Linked DNA regions of Oryzias latipes. The protein of the gene in region 2 purifies or fractionates together with the protein of the main gene of each other region. This does not show direct contact. Links are inferred from orthologs where the notes say so. Each region holds a gene or a part of one and is shown on either strand. Other genes may lie near its edges.

Region 1 (4,278 bases), on a different chromosome or scaffold from region 2:
GTCCATCCCTGAGGCAAAAAATTGAGTCCCGTCGATGTAAAACTTTTCCATTTTAAACCAAAGATAATGTGATGTGATTCACAGCAGCACAGTAGTAAGAGGTTCTGGATGTGAGTCCAGGAAATGCTCCAAGCTTGGCCAGATTGCTGGAGGCAGTCCTTAAGTGAACGCAACACAGTATCTAAATGTATAGATGACACACTTTCCAGTTTCACCACAATTCTACAGAACTACTGCCGCAATCTGAGCCAATGTTGCTAGAATATCGCATTTAATTTTTTGTAAAATCTGCATGAAAATAACATATTTTGGTAAATTACAGTGCATGCAAAGGAGTCCAAACTTGTTAGAGGGCAACCTAATTACATTTCTTTGCATGATTGCACAGATTTCTATTTCTCAGAGCCTCCCAAGGAGTGGGAAAGTACGGCACTGATTTACAAGAGCTTGTTAAATTTTACTCGTACTGCATGAAAAACTTCCACGTGATGGTTGGTGCAAAGGGAGAACATTTACTGATCAAGTCTTGTGACTATGACCATTCAAAGTATCAAACCTGCTAAAATTCACAGAAAAAAAAAATTAAACAACTATACATATTGCCCTTGAGACTCCTGAATGTTGCTAGGAACACTTACCCCAGCATCATCGTCACTTTGGATAAGCTGCGAGTGTCCAAACAGCCGCCTCTTCAACATGGGCTCCAGCAGAGTCAGGTACACCATGTAGAGCAGTAGCAGGCCCAAAATGGACAGGTACATGATGATGGTAAACTAAATACATGAGAAGGGAGAACAAAAAACATACTCAGAAATCATAGCATGCCTCACATTTAACGTTGAGCAAGTATTTTCCATAACCTTGAATTTGATCAAATTAAACTTCTTTATATATTTATATTTAACTATAAATATAAATACTTTTCATACAAAAGTAGTGCAAAGTCAGAAACTGTCACATATAAAAAATAAAATACCCCTGTTGTTTATATGCAAGATAAAAAGGGAGAATACCAGCTTTTAAAAAATCTACAAATTAGTATTTTAAAAAAAAGGAAATGTTTGCAATGTAAAGAATAATCAAAAACTTTATACATCCTTAATCTGAACCCTCTGTGTCCTAAATTGGGTCACAGGGGTTGCTGGAGTCCATCCCAGCAAACATGGGGTTAAAGGCAGAAAAGATCTACATTTTTAGGGTACATACAGAGACAAACCAGCACACACACAGTCTGAGAGACACTTTATAAAAAATAAATCAATAATCTGACTTCACCTTTATAGTCCCTGAGCTCCTCTCTTCATATTTACATTCACAGCGCAGACAGTAGGCCTCCACATCTTTGCCGTCCACTGGCATCGGTTCCACCACATGGAGGCAGTTACTTAAGAGACAAAATCATCCATATGATAAAGATTCAGCAAGGGGGGGGGGGGAACATACAATGGCATTTGGTTACATACCAGTCTTTGAGAGACACATTTTGTTTGTAGATATGTCCCTCATAGCCTCTGTAAGGTGGACAGATACACTTACAGCGAACGTCTTCGGAATTCTGTAAAAGTTACGTCAAGCAGGTGTTTAAGTTTTAAATGCAGCAGTCGATTGAACTCAGACATTTGTTTTGACATGTTTGTGTGATGTTATCACAGCAGCTTTAAGAATATCAAAAAATTAAGTTTATAACTTGTAGTTTACCAAAAAATAGATTTGCAAAGCAATAACAGGATAAAATAATACAACTGAAGTAATTACTATTTATTGAAATAGTTCAAAATCTTGCTAAAATAAAAATCTTGGATCTTAAAGATTTTTAATGTAAAAATGAGTGTTTTCCTAAGACTGCATGGTGGCTTTAGATCTTCTTAGCTAAAACCAACGATGTTCTGGAATAATTACATACACAGTATGAGTTTCTATGATGAAACAACATGCTGCCAAAAGAAATCAAAAGACTTGAGACTAAAAACACAGGAATCCAGCTTCCAGGTACATAACACCAAAGTAGCAACAAAAAAAGTTTCCAAAATAATAGTTCTGATGGATGTTGGCAGCATTTCTGTTTCGCTTTGGTGTACCTGTTTATGTTTTTATTATTATTCTTCTGACATATAAATGTAGTTTTGAAATAGCAAAGATTCCCTTTAATGTCTGCTTTTATGAAAGAAAAAGGGGGGACAGTTGTTTTCTGGCGTTTGCTGTGTTTAATAAAGGTAGATTTTCTGTAACTCGGTAGAGAAGGAAAAAAATGTTCAACTGATCAGAAATAGCACATTTATTAACATTTTAGTAAGGAAGTCTTAACAGAAATTAATCATGACAACATTTTTATCTCTATCTATCTATCTATCTATCTATCTATCTATCTATCTATCTATCTATCTATCTATCTATCTATCTATCTATCTATCTATCTATCCATCTATCTATCTATCTATCTATCTGACCAAGCACGCGAGCAACAAAAAGGGGAAGGTGTCTGTCGCTGACAGAATTTTAAGACGTGTAATTCCTGTTTAGTAAGCTACTCGCCCATGTTTTGTGTGCTGTCAGCTAGCATTAGCCTAGCATTAGCCTTACCTTTGCTGCTGCTGCTTGGCTCAGCAGCACCAAACACGCCAAACACGCAGCCTCGGCAGCTAACACCAGCTTCATCGTCGCAGTAACTCAAACCCTGCTGGACTCTTTTTGCGGGACAAAGGAGAAAAGACGAATGCACCCTAAGAAACGACGCCGTCCGCCGTAGAGCCAAGTAGAGGATAAGCAGATTCTACATCAGCTGACTTGTCATTTCCGGAAATAGAGGCTCACTTCCGCAAACATTAAGACGCGGACATTTGAAATATTACATTTTTTTTTATTTCAAGAACTATTGAGGTTTACAATTTGTCTTTTGAATTTGAAACATGACATATTTAGGGGATTTTAAAAATATTTTTACTTTGTACTTATTAGTTTCTATGTTTTTATATAAATCATGTTTGTTAAACTGCCATGATCATGTACGAAAAATACAACAGAATGAGATGGAGATCTAAAATGACTGACGACAGCCGTCTAAACCCGTCTTCCACTTAAAGGGTTTATTTATTTTGGTGAAAATTTTACAAAGTACTGCTTATTTTTAAAGAAGTAACTTTAAAAAGTATCTTGCACACAACACAGATTTACTACATATTTATTTTTAAAAAAAGTCATCACATTTGAAGCAAAGTTTTTAATAATTGTCTAAAATAAAAAAAAGCTTAACCTTAACTGATTTTGTTTTTTATGTTTAATTTGTTACTTGGTCTATTTTTTGTGCTGCATAAGCTTTCCTATATTTGTATTTTCTTTAAAAAATGCACCTTGTTTTGGCTAAATAATGTGTTGCAAGTTAAATCAAGTAATGATTTATTTGGTGTTTTTCTTAAGCAGACAAATATAGACAAACAGTTGCATACTAAACTCTAATGTCAAATGAAATTTGTGCACACTAAACAATAAGGTTCTTTTCTGGTAATTAAGGAAATGATGAATATGAGTCCTATCTTTATTTACAATTTTATTAGATGTACAAAACCATAAAATATACATACACATCGCATCTAAGATGGGTCAGTAGCTCAGCAGCATTTTACAGGACTTTTCATAGAAACAGACATGACATGCTTTAGTATCTCAGGGTGTCTACAGAAGCATCTTTGACTGACGTGAAAGCAGATAATAGCTGGAAAAGCTTAGGGGTTTATAGAACCATTACGTTTATCCAGACACCTTGGAAAACCAAACACATGGGTCATCAACATCTGTAGCTAAAACTCTCAACACTTTTTTTACATCATATACAATACAGTCATCAAAATAAATGCTTTTGTGGCGAGACTACCTCTTTTCAGTGCTAGTGTTCCCAAGAAAACAGTTGTGCTGTATTAGTTTCTTACATTTTGCAGTACTTCTGTCATAAATGCATCAAATCCAGTAAAATAAGGCTGTTAAAACTAGATATACAATCTATGTACAGTACCATTGACATTCAATATATGTCTGTTCGCCCACCAAGTTTGTCTCTCCTTGTGGTGCAATAGATTAAAGTCCCATTCTGTCAGCATGTATTCAGCACTCCTGAAATTAAGGTATGTACTTCAGTCCTGCGCTGACGTTTCAATAGCTTTTTTAATTTTACTTAAGGGATTTGCTTTGATTTGTTTTTCATATTCGTCGACATGACATCCAACCAATCTGTGTGACAGTCCCTTGAAAATCCTGGTGCAGCATTTATGGGCGAAGGAATGTCAG
Region 2 (3,513 bases):
CAGTCAAACCGATTCTTTGATGAGCTCTGGCAGCATCTCAGTGAAACACGCAAACATGTCAAACATAATTATCAGCATGAAGACGTAAAGATGATGTCACATAGCCACTACATACATTTTGAACATACTGCACGGATGAAAATTGGTCCAAAATCACGCAAAGAACACGTTAACCAACGTAAAAGCCACACGATACTCCAATTGTGCATGATTATTGTGCTGTTTATTTGTAATTATTTGGTGTGTCAATTACGTAAATTTAGCGTGTTATGTGTACGTGATATAAAAGTTATACATCGATGGTACATGCATTAAAAGCATGTGAGACATGCGTGGAACAGTTGTGGAAAGCCACAAATCTGCCTATGCATCTCGCAAAAATCACGCACGTAGAATGCGTAGAATTTATGAAATGACTGTGTTATTCTCAACCAACCAAAACTGTGGAACAGTGCAAAACGGAGCTCACATAAAGACGCATCAGCTGACATCTTTGACGGACATCTGCGCACATTGTTGAACGACAAACGCAAGAAACACTTATGAATGATGTAGATCACGCATGGATTACAGAGGAAAGAAATGTCATATGTGGACAATAAGCAAAATGGAAGTAGTGGCTGTCTGACACGGCCTTAAAACTGGAAGTCCATCAGAGCCTGACTGTTTCAACATAAAGACCTAACTTGTGCATTTGAGCCTGAAGTTGTGCATCTTTGTGAGCCAAACTACTTCACATTGTGTTTGGTCCATTAAGAACAGGTTTTGATAAAAACAACTGCATTTCTGTTCATGTTCCAGGTTTCAGTCATGAAGATCTTTGTGCAGGATGGCGTCCAGCGCCCAGACTCTCAGGTGCAGCTGAAGATCTGAAGCTCAGACATAACGCTGCATTTAACAGGAACAGCTAAGGAAAATTCCAAAGTCCTCCTCCTCCTTACAGAGATCACACCACACACTGGTCATGTGATCGTCTTATGCTTCAGATCATTTTGCGCCACAGCTGCAGTAAAACCAGAAGAGGTCACCTGAGCCCATTGTCTTCCTCAGCAGAGATGAAGGGGGACATGTGAGCGTGTGATCACCCTGCAGGGATCCGACCCAGACTCAGATGAGCCGCCGGTTGTCCAGGTGATCATACAAAAAGGGCGCCCCAGATTGTTTGCTTGTGCCATTTCCAGGAAAGCTCCGCCCCCCACAGATCACAGCGAGGTTTCACAGGAAAAGCTGACAGATGGCTCCAGGAGGACTGTCCTGGTCTTTATTTCTTCAGGAGGGGGCTGTTGGAAGAAATTAGCAGTTTCTCAACAAGTAATCAGCAGAACTTTACCTCAGGAGCACAAAGAGACCACAGGGTCCTGTTGTTTGGTCCAAACCAGAGTTCAGATGAACCTTCAAACCTGCTAAAGCAGGACCATTACCAGAAACTGGCTTTGGATCTGACTAAGATCAGCTCTTGACCAGACTATAACCAGCACTGGACCAGATAGGGGTCAGGCCAAGACTAAACCTGGGCCAGACCTTGATCAAATCAGGATAAGCTCTGAACTAGACCAGGACCAGACCAGGAACAGAACCAGCACTTGATCAGACCTAAATCCAGTTGTGTAAATAATGCGCCATGAGTTAAAACCCATTCCTGCACTGTAGATAGTGTATGTAAACACTGGACACATTTTTTTAATTCCCGAGAATTTTGCTTGTTTTTGGGAAAAGTGTTTTGAAAAATATTTATGATTCTTTGAACTCGTCATTGTGACTCAGAAAAAGTTCTGCTTAATGTCGTTTTTACGAATGTCATGAATCAATTTGTCAGGGAGGGCTCACACAGAGACATGAACGCTTTCACTGCACAGATTGACCTTTCAGGGTTCCTGCTGAAGACAGAAACAAGCTGAAGAGGCCCTTTCTCTGCAGACTCACCATCTGCAGCTCACTGCTCACAGCGCCGCCAGCTCCCACGTTCACGCTGTGTCTCTTCAGGTCCGACTTGATTAAAGCTGGAATAGGAAGGCAGGCGGCAGCTTTAGCATTTTCTGTGACAGGCACGCACATGTGCACATACACACACAGCTCACCACTGAGAATAGCTCCCCCAAAGATCCAGGCGCACAGGAAGAGATTTCCAGTGAGTGGGTCGTAGTCTGTGGTCAGTTTGCCCTGAATGAGAGTGAATAGGATCCCAAAGATCTGCAAATAAACACACACAGGAGACATTTACAGCTTATCTGAAACACGTCTCTTGGCTCCTTAGAAGACATCTCTTTTTACAAAGTTCAGAATAGTTTCAGACAAAATTAGAAGATCTTCTGCAGGTAAGACACGTACCTGAGCAAAAGCATTGAGGAGGCCAGAAGACGTTCCTTCAGACTCTGGGTAAGTGATCTCTACTCCAAACTCGAAGCCGAGTGGTAAGTATCCCGTCATGAAGAAGCTGAAACACAGGACCATTTTTCTGATGTCAGTTTTGTGGTACAGGGGGGTCAACCGCTGATAGGACGGAGGTTTGCGGGATCGGCTCCCGCCTCTGTGTCAACGTTTCATTGGGAAGACACTGAATCCCACGTTGCCCATGGTGGTTATAGGTCTGTGCCAGTGTTCAGCAGTGGACCCGCCATCACCGAATTTCCCAAGCTGGGACCAACCAATAAGGTATCTTTATCTGATCAGTGTATGAGTGTGTGTGGATGAATGGGACTCTGGGCCTTGATCAAAATAGAATGTATCCGTCTTTTTCCTTTACATCTCCCATTTGTGAGCTCCTGATTTATGAAAATAAGAAAACCACATGCTTCATGCCACAGCTTTTATATTTAAGAGGAGAACAGACTCAGAACCTGTTAGTCCAGTTTTTGTTCAAGCAACCGACATCCACCCACAGCATTTGAATAAAAAAATAAAACACTGTTCAGTTCATGTTCAGTTAAGAGTGTCTGCAGAAATGTTGCCTAAAATCCTCATGTTTGAACTCCTGAAGGAGATCTTCAGGAGGTTGGGCAGAGAACCAACGTTAACCGTTCATCATTTTCTACCTAGTTATAAAAATGACATAAAACAGAACTCTGCTGTATATTAGAGACTAACATTTTGTCAGGAATCCCATGGGTCACGGGATTCCTGTGGGATGGTAGTCATCCGTTTCACTAACCACAGAGTTGGGACGCTACAGGTTAAAATAGTGGGGCCAACCAATAAGCAAGGCAACAAAACAGTAAAGACAGAGCCTTTTTTAGTTTTCTGGTAATAATTTAAGCCATTAAAAATGCACATCAACCAGAAGACCCCAGTGCTTTTATTCACGGTTTCTCTCGCTGTAATTCTAAGTGCAGCAATGGAGGGAGCCGCCATCCACGGCTAGTTTGATTAAGGAAAAATTGACATAAGAACAACAAAGACATATCTATAGTTCAAGGAGCTTGTAGGAAAGTTGGATATATTGAGTCGAGTGCGACGGTGATACCACGTCATGTGAAGCTTGTGGAACACGTCTTATCATAGTAAAGTACACCAGTC

Evidence for each region. Proteins that work in one complex are often made in the same cells at the same time.
Region 1: the proteins of flvcr1 (region 2) and tmem9b purify together in Homo sapiens (co-immunoprecipitation; 3 studies listed by BioGRID and IntAct, counting the BioPlex papers as one, with this or other methods). This does not show direct contact. The link is inferred for Oryzias latipes from reciprocal best matches to the Homo sapiens genes FLVCR1 and TMEM9B.

What each region holds. Positions count from the first base shown.
Region 1 is NC_019861.2:19,775,386-19,779,663, forward strand, and holds the start of tmem9b (transmembrane protein 9B), read right to left. Parts: upstream 2,807-4,278; 5' UTR 2,656-2,806; coding exon 2,581-2,655; intron 1,556-2,580; coding exon 1,464-1,555; intron 1,385-1,463; coding exon 1,276-1,384; intron 774-1,275; coding exon 639-773; intron 1-638. Other genes in the region: scube2 (signal peptide, CUB and EGF-like domain-containing protein 2), read right to left, coding at 4,258-4,278. UniProt on the Homo sapiens protein: Enhances production of pro-inflammatory cytokines induced by TNF, IL1B, and TLR ligands. Has a role in TNF activation of both the NF-kappaB and MAPK pathways.
Region 2 is NC_019882.2:23,314,809-23,318,321, forward strand, and holds part of flvcr1 (feline leukemia virus subgroup C receptor-related protein 1), read right to left. Parts: intron 2,435-3,513; coding exon 2,329-2,434; intron 2,191-2,328; coding exon 2,079-2,190; intron 2,001-2,078; coding exon 1,924-2,000; intron 1,281-1,923; coding exon 1,203-1,280; 3' UTR 1-1,202.